Ovis aries: one gene and its partner. The protein of the gene in region 2 interacts with the protein of the main gene of each other region in a pairwise test. Links are inferred from orthologs where the notes say so. Each region holds a gene or a part of one and is shown on either strand. Other genes may lie near its edges.

What was found.
Region 1: the proteins of MEOX2 (region 2) and TRIM42 interact in binary tests that used the Homo sapiens proteins (3 or more experiments, as listed by UniProt). The two-hybrid records come from large-scale screens. The link is inferred for Ovis aries from reciprocal best matches to the Homo sapiens genes MEOX2 and TRIM42.

Annotation. Positions count from the first base shown.
Region 1 is NC_056054.1:248,855,592-248,859,244, forward strand, and holds part of TRIM42 (tripartite motif-containing protein 42), read right to left. Parts: intron 2,634-3,653; coding exon 1,810-2,633; intron 1-1,809.
Region 2 is NC_056057.1:25,002,804-25,006,456, forward strand, and holds part of MEOX2 (homeobox protein MOX-2), read right to left. Parts: intron 3,160-3,653; coding exon 2,987-3,159; intron 1-2,986. UniProt on the Homo sapiens protein: Mesodermal transcription factor that plays a key role in somitogenesis and somitogenesis and limb muscle differentiation. Required during limb development for normal appendicular muscle formation and for the normal regulation of myogenic genes.

The DNA.
Region 1 (3,653 bases), on a different chromosome or scaffold from region 2:
CAGTGACTTCACTGAGTTTTCCTATATACGTTCCTTTCTTGAATTCATCAAGGGTGTGTTAAGCCCAGGGGGCCCAGGGAGACTGTTCTTCAAGCCCAAGAATAGAGCAGACATCACCAGTCGTTCCCATCCAGAGCTACTACTACTACTACTACTAAGTCGCTTCAGTCGTGTCCGACTCCGTGCGACCCCATAGACGGCAGCCCATCAGGCTCCACCATTCCTGGGATTCTCCAGGCAAGAACACTGGAGTGGGTTGCCATTTCCTTCTCTGATGCATGAAAGTGAAAAGTGAAAGGGAAGTCGCTCAGTCATGTCCGACTCCTAGTAACCCCATGGACTGCAGCCCACCAGGCTCCTCCATCCATGGGATTTTCCAGGCAAGAGTACTGGAGTGGGGTGCCATTGTCTTCTCCCATTCAGAAGCTAGATCTTGCCAACCTCTCAAGTGGTCTGAGTTGCATGGAGATGAGAACTAATGCAGTCCCTGATGCAGTGTCACGTACATTGCAGGTGTTGCTGATCTAGCATCACTTGGAAGTGCAGCTTCAGCTGCTTAGTTGTGGGTACCTGCTATGTGAAGGGCAGAGATACATTTGCTGTGTCTGACAGCCCATGGGAGGATAGGTTCTGTATGTTCTACCTTGCAACATAAGGTCATTCTTGGAGTCAATTATAAATGCCAAAACATAGATTAAGATGTTTCAGGAGAATAAAAAGGTAAGGCTTGGTCAGTGTCTCCCTTTAATTTTCTTGTTTCTAGATCCTTTGATACTGAAGTGTGGTCTGCTAATTGGCAGCAATGCCAACATCTGGAAGTCTGTTAGAAGTGCAGAATCTCAGGCCCCGCTGAGACCCACTGAAGCAGACTCTGTATTTAACAAGATTCCCGGGTGCACGTTAAGGTTTGAGAACCACTAGTTTAGGCTTCAAGGACGTTAAGTGTCTTTGTGAGTGCTCAGATCATGAGGACAGAAGGTGGATTCTGCTACATGGAAGCAAGTCATGGGTTGGCTTGGGAATTGTCCCTCTAGTGGTCCCAAGAGGAGGCAAGATATGCTCTCATAGAATACATTTTTTTCCTTCCTGGATGCTAATAGAACATTATATAAACTATTCAATTTAGATTCAATCAGCTAGATTTGAAAGGAATGTTAAGAGATGGGCTATTTGTTCTGTTCATGTTAGGCCAAGAAGGTCAAGGAAGAGTCATATCCCTTGACGCTGAGTGATGGCAGTTGTAGAGGTCTGTGAGAGATACATACCCTCCCCTCACTAAAAGCTGAATCTCAGGAGATAAGAACTGGAATTCCACTGGGGATTACCTTCTAATCTTTCCAAATCATGAAGAGTCTAGATATTTTCTTTAGAAAAAGTAGCAATTTAGAGGAATCACAGCTGATAGATCACGGAGGCTGCTTTTCTAATTCCAATTTCTGTTCTCTTTCTACTGTTACAGGCTTTCCTTTGGGAAATATTATTCTCTTCAAGCAGTCTCTTCAAATTACTTTGGTTCCAAAATTGCAGTCTCTTTCAATAGAGAAGCTGCCTTTGAAGTGGAATTGGGGCTTTCAGATGCATTTCTGGCTATGAGTTAAATATATGTTTGGTTTAAGCCAATCTCGGGCTCTTAAGATTTCAGGAACTTATCCCTTTTGAATGGGCCAACCACACAGAGTCCAGAGGAACAGATCTGAGTGACCAGATCCTAGTGGTCAATGAACTAAGTGCAAACTTTCCCGACTACCCACCTCCATGCCATAGCTCACACCCTCCCATCTTTCCTACAGGGCCCAGAGCCTTTCTTACCTTGGCAGCTCTTGGATACACCAGAGTCTGGTAGATAACAATTGGGCCTGGAGTCTTCACAGAGCTATCGTTGAATGAGTACCAGTTGTGGAAGCTATTGCTATTCTGCACAGGCTGGTTTTCTACCCCGGTGCTCCAGTAGGTGTAGAGGCCGTCTGTGGGCTTGGCAGGTGCAGCTGACTGGGCTCGCCCATAGGCTTCCAGACCTATCTTGGTTTTCTCACAGGCAGGGGCATTGAAGGACAATAAGGAGGAGCTTCGCTGGTATATCTGCTGGTTATTGAAGCTGTGGGTGCTGAAAGTGACCTTCCTGGCGATCATCATTTCTGACTGCAGGGGGTAGGAGGACGGCAGGGAGTCCCCAGAGGAACACACCTTCTTGGGTCCTGTGGGGAAGAGCTCGTGAATGGCACTGGAGAGCTCAGCAAAGTCCAAGGGCATGCAGTTCAAGGAGTGTAGCCGGAGCTGTGGGTCGGGCCTATAAGTGCTCTGGATGCCATCCTCGATCTGGTCCACCAGGATCTTGGCTGACTGCAGGAATGCCACTTGGCCTGTCTCCTTGAGCGCCTCCTTGGAGTAGGCAATCAGGCCATCCATTTCGTTCACCTTCATGGTAGTGACGTACACATACTTTTCAATTTCCTTTTGCCTGGACACCTCCAGATTCTCTATCTGCTCCATGATGGTTTTCTCTTTCTCCTGGAGAATGCTGCGCAGCTTGAGAAATCCATTTCTGATCTCTTTCCGCTTTACCTCCTTGTCAGCTTTAAAGCTGTTTTTTAAAATATTGAATTCCATGAGGTCATTATCAATTTCATAGCGGACTGCAAAACAATCAAGTTAGTTACTTCAGTTAAAATTTTCAGTTCCCCAGATATCAAAGCCAGTGGCAAACTGGAGCATATTAACTTGGGCTCCAAAGAAGTGGGTGGAAAGGGAGGAAAACCACTTGTTGCTGGGCTTAAAGATGCTAGCATAGGTTTGTAAAGTGACTCTGGCCCCTCTCCACACACCCTTCTCTTCCTCTTTGTCTAATATTTCCTTTAGGTATGACAGCCAGCCTTCCCTGGCATACTTCTATCTAATAATTCTTACAGCCTTGGGTCTAAAGGTGGAAGTTCAAGGCCACCCTTGATATTAGTTTTCACTCAACTTTACCTGTTAGCAAGTTGGACGTGAGAAGAGGTGATGTCACAAAGTGATGGATTTTCCCTATGTGAAAGCCTAAGCTTTTGCAGGGGTGGGAGAAGAAATAAATTTCTGATGACTACTTCTAAATATTGCTTTGTCTCGTTCACCAAAACCCAGCCCTAGACAATAGTGGCAAACCAGCAAAGTTCCCCTTCACTGTGGCTTCTCTGACATGTCCTTTTCCTTTGCCGGGGGCTTTGACTCCCTTGGGTTCAGCTGGACTCCCTGTCTTGCCTACCCCACTTCCCACTTCCTTTCCAGAAAGGGTCTGCTGTTACAAGTCAAGGAAAACCAAGTTCATCCTGCAGCCTTGACATGGCATTTGGATTTTAAGTCCTCTCAACCATTCAACAACCATTTATGGGACACCTATTCCACATCATATACTTTTCTAAGCTCTAGGGATACAGATATGAGTATGAGAGGCCACTGATGCTCTAGGAATGCACAAACCCAATGATACTGCAGTGGGGAGGATGCCAGGGCAGGGTGAGCATGTGGCCCACCTCTGTCTGTGAAATGGCAACTTCATTGTCTTTACAGGGTTTTAGGCGTTAGACAACAATTTGAATACAGGTCAGCCTTCTGTGGCCTATTCTAGAGGTAAGGTCCTCTCCAGGAAAGGCTGACTCTGCAGTGAATTGATGGGCTAT
Region 2 (3,653 bases):
GAAAATGAAAGCGACATGGGTCATTTCCAGGTGAAAACATTTAGAGGTCAATGCCTGAACCTCCAGCTCTTTCTTACCTCTTGCAGTTACCAAGGACACCACATGTCAGGATGCTAGAAGGTCAGACTGGGTCCTGAGTGATTATTTGGAAAGCTGGACTTGCAAAGTTAGTAGGGAGAGTGACCAAACAGTAAACTTTATGCTTATGTCATTCAGATTTGAGGGTTAATGTATTACTGTGACATAAACCCTATCCTGAGCAGTAAACGAAACTAACATGGGGTTTCCAAATTTCTAGTATGTGAAATAAGGAGATTTTAAAAATAAACAAGATGAATGGAGAGAGTAACATGGAAGCATATACACTGACTTATGTAAATAAACAGCCAATGGGAACTTGCTGTAGGACTCAGGGAACACACACTGGGGCTCTGTAACAACCTAGAGAGTGGGACAGGGTGGGAGGTGGAAGGGAGGTTAAAAAGGGAGGGGACATATGTACACCTATGGTTAATATATGTTGATGTATGACAGAAAGCAAACCAATATTGTAAAGCAATCATAAATCAATTAAAAATAAATGAATATAAAAAATAAACAAAAGTCCTCTCCATATGCCATCATTATATAAAAGACATAATACTTTAGAAACAAAAAATATAAGATACAATCACAGAACAAAGGATGATTCCATAAACTGAATAAACCCAGAGGGATGGGATGGGGAGGGAGGTGGGAGAGGGGTTCAGGATGGGGAACACATGTACCCCCGTGGCAGATTTATGTCAATGTGTGGCAAAACCAATACAATATTGTAAAGTAAAATAAATAGATATGACTATTTTATTCTTCAGGGAGCCCTTGGTAGCTCAGACAGTAAAAAGTCTGCCTGCAGTACGGGAGACCTGGGTTTGATCCCTGTGTTGGGAAGATCCTCTGGAGAAGGAAATGGCAACCCACTCCAATATTCTTGCCTGGAGAATCCCAAGGACATGGGATCGCAAAGAGTCAGACACGACTGAGTGACTTCACTTCACTTTATTTTATTCTTCCTTAATTATATCATTATGCTGGGCAAAAGCTTCATCATGAAAGAGAAAATTGATCTTCCCAATGATATTTGAGAATCACAGATCCAGATATCTAGAATTACAGATCATGATAACCACGCCACGGTGTGATCACTCACCTAGAGCCAGACATCCTAGAATGGAAGTGAAGTGGGCCTTAGGAAGCATCACTATGAACAAAGCTAGTCAAGGTGATGGAATTTCAGCTGAGCTATTTCAACTCCTAAAAGATGATGCTCTTAAGGTGCCAGCAAGTTTCGTAACTCAGCAGTGACCACAGGACTGGGAAAGATCAGTGTTCATTCCAATCCCAAAGAGAGGCAATGCCAAAGAATGCTCAAACTACTGCACAATTGCATTCATCTCACATGCTAGGAAACTAATGCTCAAAATTCTCCAAGCTAGGCCTCAACAATATGTGAACCAGGAACTTCCAGATGTTCAAGATGGATTTAGAAAAGGCAGAGGAACCAGAGATCAAATTGCCAACACCCATTAGATCAAATTCTAGAAAAACATTCACTTCTGCTTTATTGACTAAACCAAAGCCTTTGTCTGTGTGGATCACAGCAAACTGGAAAATTCTTCAAGAGATGGGACTACCAGACCCTGTCTCCTGAGAAATCTATATGCAGGTCAAGAAGCAACAGTAAGAATCGGGCATAGAACAACAGACTGGTTCCAAATTGGGAAAGGAGTACGTCAAGACTATATATCATCGCCTTGTTTATTTAACTTCTATGCATCGTAAGAAATTCTGGGCTGTATGAAGCACAAGCTGGAATCAAGATGGCCAGGAGAAATATCAAAACCCCAGATATGCAGATGATACCACGCTTATGGCAGAAAGTGAAAAGGAACTAAAGAACCTCTTGATGAAAGTGAAAGGGGAGAGTGAAAAAGCTGACTTAAAACTCAACATTAAAAAATCAAAGATCATGGTATCCAGTCCCATCCCTTCACGGCAAATGGATGGGGAAACAATGGAAACAGTGAGAGAATTTATCTTCTTGGGCTCCAAAATCACTGCAGATGGTGACTGCAGCCATAGTAAAAGATGCTGGATCCTCGGAAGAAAAGCTATGACCAACCTAGACAGCATATTAAAAAGCAGAGACATTACTTTGCCAACAAAGGTCCGCATAGTCAAAGCTATGGTTTTTCCAGTACTCCTGTATGGATGTTAAGAGTTGGATCGTAAAGAAAGCTGAGCAACGAAGAACTGATGCTTTTGAGCTGTGGTGTTGCAGAAGACCAGAGAAGGCAAAGGTACCCCACTCCAGTACTCTTGCTTGGAAGAGTCAGACACGACTGAACGACTTCACTTTCACTTTTCACTTTCATGCATTGGAGAAGGACATAGCAACCTACTCCAGTGTTCTTGCCTGGAGAATCCCAGGGATGGGGGAGCCTGGTGGGCTGCCGTCTAAGGGGTCGCATAGGGTCAGACATGACTGAAGCGACTTAGCAGCAGCAGCAGCAGCAGTTGGAGAAGACTCTTGAGAGTCTTGGACTGCAAGGAGATCCAACCAGTCAATCCTAAAGGAGATCAGTCCTGAATATTCATTAGAAGGACTGAAGCTGAAGCTGAAATTCCAATACTTTGGCCACCTGATGGAAGAACTGACTCATTTGAAAAGACCCTGAAGTTGGGAAAGACTGAAGGCAGGAGGAGAAGGGGACAGCAGAGGATGGGATGGTTGGATGGCATCACCGACTGGGTGGACATGAGTTTGAGTAAACTCCAGGAGTTGGTGATGGACAGGGAGGCCTTGAGTGCTGCAGTCCATGGGGTCACAAAGAGTCTTAGACTACTGACAGACTGAATTGAACTGATCTAGATATTTTTTAAATGGTGAGAGAAGACTGTTGACCCAAAGCAACTAAAAATATATAATGACAATGTCCAACATTACCTGTCTTTCAGTGAGATCCAGATTCACTGCTATCTCATATCGCCTCAGTCTGGTCAGATAATTATGATGGGCAAATTCTGCTTCAAGTTCTCTGATTTGCTCTTTGGTAAAAGCTGTTCTTTCCTTTCTGGGTTTGCTGTTGACTTCTGACTTGTAATTTCCTTCCTGGGAGTCTGGTGAAAAAAAGTAAAAGAATTAGATTTAGTTCATTCACTCAAACACATTCAATCATTTAATTTAGAACAGAAACATTTACTGAATAACTACTTTTCCAGGTACTCTATTAAACACAGTAAAAATAGAGAGAAACCAAAGACAGTAAGATTTATCTTGACAGGGTGAGATAAATTGCATTTTTTTCCTATGCGCCCTGAGGTGACTCACAGCCTAACTGGGGCTGTGTCTAGTTTTCTTCTTTTGAAATATCAATATACACACAAAAAATTAACTGTTCTTAATATGCTTCCCTGGTGGCACAAATGGTAAAGAATCTGCCTTCAATGCAGAAAACACTGGTTCAGTCCCTAGGTTGGGAAGACCCACTGGAGAAGGGAATGACAACCCACTCCAATACTTGCCTGAGAATTCCAAGGACAGAGGAGCCTGGCAGGCCCCAGTCAGTGGAGTTGCAAAGAGTCAGACATGACTAAGTGACTAACACTTTCAC